Linked DNA regions of Rattus norvegicus. The protein of the gene in region 1 binds, or shares a complex with, the protein of each later gene. Links are inferred from orthologs where the notes say so. Each region holds a gene or a part of one and is shown on either strand. Other genes may lie near its edges.

Region 1 (4,060 bases):
ATTTGGGATAGGCTGGTAACAGAGCAAAACTCACATTTTATGAGGTAACTAACGAAGGAAATCTAAAGGCTACAGTGTTTATAAGATGTAAGACACTGTCAGGACAATTTTTGGCTGCTGCCAGTGACACATGACTGAAGCCACCACAGCAGATACAGGATTTCAGAATTTCTTCTTATACTGGGCTCCCTCTTGTGCTGTCTGAAGCCTTCCAATGCTTCCTGAATCTGCAGACAGGGAGCAATAGTAACCAACCAGTGGATAGAAACACGGGTAGTCTGGAAAGTCTAGACTAAGGCAGCAGGTGCCCTGTGGCCTAGTTCTATCAAGACTCCATGACAGGGTCTAGGTAGAATCCAGTTCTGTGGTCCTATTGCCCTTTTTATGAAGCAATTCAGATAGTGTCTCCCTTCCAGAAAGTTTAAGGAAAAGAAGCAAAAATCAAAACTCAAGGCTCAGGAGGTAAGGCTGCAAGGAGTACCTGGTCAGTGACGTCATACACCACAATGATGCCATGAGCACCCCGATAGTAGCTGGAAGTGATGGTCCTGAACCGTTCCTGACCAGCTGTGTCCCACTATGAGTCAGGAGGAAAAGGGTAGGTAGGTCAGCCACAGGAGAACTCCCACCCCAAGGAAAAGACTTCTGCCCGAGGGCTGGAGAAAAGCCATACTCACAATCTGTAGTTTGATGGTTTTGCCATCCAGTTCAATGGTTCGAATCTTGAAGTCCACCCCAATGGTGCTGATGTAGCTCTCTGTGTACGTGTCATCCTGAAAAGGTTGTGGCTAGTGAAACACTGGAGAGACTGGCTTCCTGCCCCTGTGGTGCTTCTCACTGCCAAGCCTCAGTTCTAATCACCCGACTCCCAGGGCCTGGGCCCTTGCTGTGGCAGCTCCAGCCACCACACTCTTAGTTCTCGGACTTGCAACTACTGTGTTCTGAGCTGCCCCCTCCTCTTCCCGGTGGTCAGCCAGGACCCCAAGTAGATAATACAGGGGTGCTTCTTACTCACAGCAAACCGCAGAAGCAGGCATGACTTGCCCACGCCCGAGTCACCAATCAAAAGCAGCTTAAACAGGTAGTCACTGGCAAGAGAAGACGGGAAGGTATGAAGGCGAGCAGGAAGTTCCCCCTCCTTCCTGTAGTAAGCATGACAGCACTACAAGGCATACTTCTGCTTGGTCTACTCTGGTGCTCACTAGATCCTTCTACTGTCCTGATTGACCCTTAGTATCCCCAATAAGCTAGCACACAAAAACCTTCAGCCTGTGTCAAAAAGAACACAATCTGCTAAGAAATACGCGGTGCTATTTGGCAGACACTATTTAAGAAACTCACGCTGGGCCTTACACTATGCCAGCTTAGGACCCAAAAACGAAAGCCTGACCCATGAAGTAAAAATAAACATGAAGGTGGGATGGGAGGTGGGGTGTATGTGTGGTGGGGGAAGGTGGTGCACATCTTTGATCCCAGCACTCAGAAGAGGCGGGGGCAGATTTTTGAGTCAGAGGCCAGCCTGGTCTACAGAGTGAGTTCCAGTACAGCCAAGGCTGCAAAGAAACCCTGTCTGAAAAATCCAAAACAAAACAAAAATGTGAAAGAGCCTGAGATGAAGTCACACAAGAGGCGGTCAACAAGTGGCCATGGAAGCAGTGGTAAATACTAAATTGTAACTGGATGTACTTGAAATACATGCTCACAACAGTGCAAAGAAGTGTGTTACTACTTCCAACTACGGAGGAAACCAGAGGTCACAGAAGGGAAGTGACTTGTCCTAAGCAGTTGATAACTGTGAGACTGGAAACCAGGCCTGTCAGACTCCAAGCTCTTTGACAGCTGGTAGCCTCCCTTCTCTGTTCCCCTCCTAAGCCCACTAGTGAGTTCAACCCTTCCTCAAGGAAATCTGAGGCCTAGAGTTGGGGAAGAAAAAGGAAGTGGAGAAGGGGAAGAAGATAACGTGGGTGCAAAACTGTATGTAGGGTTTGAGTTTGAGGAATAAAAATTCCGCTCTAAGGGAGCAAGCAAATTCACATTCACCTAATGTGCTTTGGCAGTGTGACAGCAGAGGGAAGCTATGTGACAGTGGCACTGGAGGCCTGAGCAAAGGTGAGAGGACAGAAAAGGACGGACTGCCGGGAGCAACATGACAGCGCGACCCAGGCAGGGCAAATGGTAGCCTCAGAGGAAAGGATCTGTAGGGAATGTGAATCAAGCAGGGACTCGGGGGTCCCCTCTTGTCTGGTCAGATTCTGGGCCGGCCCCGGGACAGAGGCTCCAGAAGAAAGGCAAAGAAAGGTTCACAGCCCAGTTGAAAGTATTCGACTCTGGAGATCAGAAACTATTGTGATGGGCTCCAAACAGCCTGCCCTTGGTCAAGCTGTGGGTGGGAAAAAAATTGAAGCTCAGGAAGACCAAATCTGCAGGGTCACCTAACCGAAAAGGCCTGTGAGGGCTGGCGCAGCGGGCTCCGAGTGCTGCCCATCCAGGTTGCAGCCTCAGGGACCCGGGCTGCAGAACTCGGGGTGTTGAGCCAGGGTCCTGGGGATCCCGGGGGGAGGGCAGGACCCGGATGTAAGGGGGGGGTCAGCGGAAGAGGGACCCGGATGTGGGGGCGCCGCGCAGTTCTGACCAAGGCCAGACAACTTCGGCAAGCATATAGCCCCATAGACAGGATCGAGGCTGCGCCGCACGGCGCGGGCGGGGCTCACTCACTATTCGGGGTTCATGGCGGCAGCGGTGGCCCGCTCGGTCGCTCCCAGTCGGCTCTGCTCCGCCTCCCGTTCCAAGATGGTGGCCGCTCCGCCCTAGAGGCCCCGCCCGCGCTGCGCAGCCGCAAATACTTCCGACTCGGGTTGCGCCGCGCTGCCTTGCGGAACCTGTAGTTTCCATGGATATTCGACTTGCCACTGCTGCGCAGGCGCAACCCAGGGAACCCGAGCAGCGGTGCACCCCAGTAGCCTCCGGCGAACGGCCTTCTGGGGTCTGTAGTCTTCCCAATCCCTGAACCAACTTAGCTACAAAAATCTTCGTTGTGCTACCCAATCCGCAGGTGCAGGCTCTTATTTAACACCGGGGTAGGTACGGTTCGCCTCTAAGATGGGCTGCCACCTTTACCCTCTAGATTCGCAGATTGAAACTAGAAGGTGGGAGGTATTTAGGGCCAGAAGATTTTGACTTATTCAGCGTTTTTCATGGGATGGGCACTCCGCAGCCCTAGCACTAGGATTATGTGATCACTAGTATTACATATATGAAAAATCCTCAGGAAACTCAGTTCAAGAAGACATCACAGACGGAATTGTCTAGAACCCCATTAGGGCATGTTAGACGCAACCCCAAATCTGTAGCATCTCCCCAAACAGTTCAGGATAATAGCAGAGTATTAGTTCCAGCCTCGAGGGCAGGGAAGATATGTGTGTATCCCTCACTCCCGAAGTCTCTCCTGATTCCACCCGACTCTAGGGATGCTCAGGGGCTCTGAATTCCTCAAAACAAGCCCGGTTCAGGTTCAAATCGTCTTTATTTCTACAGCAACATCTGAAAATAGAGAGCGACTGCCTTACCCAACAAATGGGGTAGTCCCTCCTGTGTGTGGGGGGAAGGGGGACATCAGAAGCTGAGGCTAGGGAGGCGTGGCAGGATGGCTCAACGGGCTGTGCCCAGGGTGGGGTCAGGCCATGCCTGGGCGGGGCTAGGTTGAAAGAACAGTGCATTAAGTCCAGGAGGCAGCACAGGGCCCCGTGGTGTGGGGGATCCGGGCATTTGCAAGGTGGAGTGGAAATCCCTCCAAGACCAGGCGAAGAGGTCTAGGAACCCCTTTTGGGAGGCTCTGGTCCCAGAACTTGGAGCTTGGAAGATACCACCACTGGGAACAGGGTGATTTAAGGCCTGGGCGGTACCACTGGATAAGAGAGAGGCAGGTGGTGGCCCGGGAATACCGTGGACTGAGGGGAGGAGGGTTGAATGACACGGCCAATAACTTATTTCTCTATATACAGAAGCAACGGCCGGGAGTGGAGGGGAAAGGTGCTGAGGGGACAGCAAGTACTTAGTGTTC
Region 2 (3,500 bases), on another chromosome or scaffold:
ATTTTATGTGTATGAGTGTTGCATATGGTTTGTTAAATGTAGTGTTGAGGGTGCCTTGAATCAAACTCACACACAAGTGCTGTGCTGTGCTGTGCTGTGCTGTGCTGTGCTGTGCTGTGCTGTGCTGTGCTGTGCTGTGCTGTGCTGTGCTGTGCTGTGCTGTGCTGTGCTGTGCTGCTGGGACATTCACTGAGCCCAGTATTGAGTTTTGAATTACATTTTTTTCCAGTATAAACAATTAAGGGCTGGAGAGATGGCTCAGCGGTTAAGAGCACTGACTGCTCTTCCAGAGGTCCTGACTGAGTTCAATTTCCAGCAACCACATGGTGTCTCACAACCATCTGTGATGGGCATCTGATGCCCTCTCATGGTGTGTCTGAAGACAGCAACAGTGTACTTCTATACATGAAATAAATACATAAATCTTAAAAAAAAAAAAAAAGGAAGAAGGAAAAAAGAAAAAACAATTAAAATTTTTTTCTGGCCTGGTGGTGATGGCTCATGCCTTTAGGCCCAGCCCTTGGGAGGCAGAGGCAGGGGGATCTCTGTGAATTCAAGGCCAGCCTGGTCTACAAAGCAAGTTTCAGGATAGCCAGTGCTACATAGAGAAACCCTGTCTCAAAAACAAAAACAAAAATAAATAAATAAATAAAAAATAAATAAATAAAAAAAGGTTGTTTTTCTTGAGTTTAAGGGTTAACAAGACCTAGGCAAGGAAACCAGCCCAAGGAAACCACGTAGATTGAGATATCTATGCTTTGTGAACTTTGAACAGGAAAGCATTGACAGTAGCCGGTACTTACTGATAGTTCCTAAAACTATAATTCCCTGTTAGTTACATGGGGTGTGACCAAAGTGTCTTATACATCATGTGCTAAATATGTGTAGGTTCTGTAAGAAGCAATCATGAGGGCCACAGCTGAGAGAAGGCACCTCAGACCGAGTTAGGAGACGGGGACTCTAAGCAGAAACGTACACAGGAAGTGTGCTTCATTCTCTTCCACACACTGTTTGCTTGTTTGTTTCTCCAGACTTTAATGCCAAAAGGAAAAAGAAGGTGGCGGAGATACACCAAGCTCTGAACAGTGATCCCACCGATGTGGCTGCCCTCCGACGAATGGCTATCAGCGAGGGCGGGCTCCTGACTGATGAGATCAGGTGCCAAGTATGGCCTAAGCTCCTCAACGTCAACACCGATGAGCCACCGCCTATGTCAAGTAAGGGAGCAGAATCCTGAGGTGGGGAGCTTCAACTAGGGATCGAAATATTGTCTAGCTAGAGGAGGTTTTTTTTTTTTTTTTTTTTTTTCTTTTCTTTTTTTCGGAGCTGGGGACCGAACCCAGGGCCTTGCGCTTGCTAGGCAAGCGCTCTACCACTGAGCTAAATCCCCAACCCGAGGAGTTTATTTTTTAATTTTTTTTTTTTTTTTCGGAGCTGGGGACTGAACCCAGGGCCTTGTGCTTGCTAGGCAAACGCTCTACCACTGAGCTAAATCCCCAACCAGGAGTTTATTTTTTTTTAAAAAAAGTTCTCGGGGTTGGGGATTTAGCTCAGTGGTAGAGCGCTTGCCTAGGAAGCGCAAGGCCCTGGGTTCGATCCCCAGCTCCGAAAAAAAGAACCAAAAAAAAAAAAAAAGTTCTCTTACATGGCTGGGAAGATGGCTCAGAGGACCTGGGTTCGGGTTCCCAGCACATATAAGGTGACTTACAACCATACAACTCCAGTTCCAGGAGATCCACTGTCCCTTTCTAGCCTCCTGCATACAGCACTAGAGAGAGAAGTGGCAGAAGTGCTGAGGTTCCTTGGAGTTCAGAATCCTTTAATTCTGTCAGAAGCTGTTGATTAACAACGTTAAAGACACGGAGTGATGGGGGACCTGGGAGAGCAGAGAACAAGCTCCAGAGCACCAGCTCCATTGCCCGCCCTGCCGCCTCTGGCTTTCCTGCTAACATGGCAGTGGACTATGCGTTGTGTGTTCTGGGAGTTCTCAGTCATTTGTCAAATCTTGGTGCCCTTGGTGTGTGCCACATACTGGATGTGGTTAAAATGATCCATGTGCTGAAACGTTGATGATATAATACACAGTGGATGCTGGGTTGCTACATGTCAGCTCGTTATGGATATCTGAGACTGCTGCCTCAGAGCAGTGGGCTCTGTGTTAGGGGAGTCAGGTGAGAAGTCATTCTTCTCTCACGTTTCAAACTTGACACTAAGATGAAGAAAGTGTATGTGGGTGTGGGCTGAGGTGGGTATGTAAGTCTTGCACAGTTCCTCTGATAGCTCTCTGTGTGGGTTGTGAGGAAAATCAACTTACACAGTACTTGGCTTGGGATAAGGAACATATATGCTTGTATCTGTAAGCCATCTTCCAGCCCCATTGATAAGAGCATTTACTTAGCATGTACAAGGCTCAGTCCTAGCACCGCACAAAACTGATTTTGGTGGCACATGCCTGGGATGGTAGCATCAGGAGAATTTAGTGTTTAAAGCCACACCTTTAATTCCTGCACCTAGAAGTCAGAGGGAGAGGCAGATGGATTTCTGAGTTCAGAGATAGCCAGGGCTACATAGAGAAAGGAAGGAAGGGAGGGAGGAAGGGATGGATGGATGGATGGAAGGAAGGATGGATGGAAGGAAGGAAGGATGGATGGATGGAAGGAAGGAAGGAAGGAAGGAAGGAAGGAAGGAAGGAAGGAAGGAAGGAAAAAATGTAAGTGGGGAAAGGCTCAAGGTCAGGGCTGGAGAGATGGTTCAGTGGTTAATAGTGCTGGCTGCTCTTCCATGATCCAGGCTCTAGTCTCAGCACCAACCTGGTGGGTAACAAACCTCTGTGCCTCCACTTCTAGTTCCAGGGGATCTGACACCCTCATCTGCATATGCCATGTACAGATAGGAGCAAGCAAAACACCCATTCACCTGAGATAAAAAGAAACTCGTTTTTAGTTTTGTTCTGTTTTATGAGTTAGGGTTTTATTGTCCTGGAACTTGCTTTGTAGACCAGGCTGGCCTTGAATGTACAGAGATCTGACTGTCTCTGCCACTTCAGCACTGGGATTTTTTTTTTTTTAAGATTTATTTATTTATTATATATAAGTACAATGCCGCTGACTTCAGACACACCATGAGAAGGCATCAGATCCCATGACAGATGGCTGTGAGCCACCATGTGGTTGCTGGGAATTGAACTCAGGACCTCTGGAAGAGCAGTCAGTGCTCTCCCGCTGAGCCATCTCTCCAGCCCCCAGGTGTTATATTTTAAGTCATGTTTTGTTGAGGAAAAGGGTGCTCTGTGTATTCTTTAGCTCTAAACTAGCATTCCAAGATGTAGTTACTATTGCTTTTTGCTTGCTTTGTGATGTTAGGTCTAAACTCTGGGCATGGAGCTTACTAGGTTAGCTCTCTACAACTGAACATACTGGAAACCCAAGAAAGATTGACTCCTTATCTGGCTTCCCAGAGCTCTTTGTAATAACACCATGTTCCTCTTCCTCTGATAGGGA

What was found. Proteins that work in one complex are often made in the same cells at the same time.
Region 2: the proteins of Rab1b (region 1) and Tbc1d20 are in contact, whole or in part, in a crystal structure (PDB 4HLQ), measured with the Homo sapiens proteins. The link is inferred for Rattus norvegicus from reciprocal best matches to the Homo sapiens genes RAB1B and TBC1D20. Residues at the interface, in NP_112243.1 of Homo sapiens: Ser17, Gly18, Ser36, Tyr37, Ile38, Ser39, Thr40, Ile41, Gly42, Val43, Asp44, Phe45, Gln60, Trp62, Ala65, Gly66, Gln67, Arg69, Phe70, Thr72, Ile73, Tyr77, Glu94; in NP_653229.1 of Homo sapiens: Gln97, Gln98, Leu101, Asp102, Arg104, Arg105, Leu107, Arg108, His141, Tyr142, Tyr143, Gln144, Gly145, His147, Asp148, Phe177, Met178, Asp179, Pro180, Thr181, Met182, Lys186, Val212, Ile215, Leu218, Ser219, Thr223, His227, Met272, Ala273.

Annotation. Positions count from the first base shown.
Region 1 is NC_086019.1:211,840,423-211,844,482, forward strand, and holds the start of Rab1b (ras-related protein Rab-1B), read right to left. Parts: upstream 2,801-4,060; 5' UTR 2,730-2,800; coding exon 2,716-2,729; intron 1,089-2,715; coding exon 1,016-1,088; intron 774-1,015; coding exon 678-773; intron 578-677; coding exon 482-577; intron 228-481; coding exon of another isoform or gene 99-227; exon of another isoform or gene 1-98. UniProt on the Homo sapiens protein: The small GTPases Rab are key regulators of intracellular membrane trafficking, from the formation of transport vesicles to their fusion with membranes.
Region 2 is NC_086021.1:161,235,348-161,238,847, forward strand, and holds part of Tbc1d20 (TBC1 domain family member 20), read left to right. Parts: intron 1-1,031; coding exon 1,032-1,217; intron 1,218-3,497; coding exon 3,498-3,500. UniProt on the Homo sapiens protein: GTPase-activating protein (GAP) specific for Rab1 and Rab2 small GTPase families for which it can accelerate the intrinsic GTP hydrolysis rate by more than five orders of magnitude. Also shows GAP activity for RAB18 GTPase.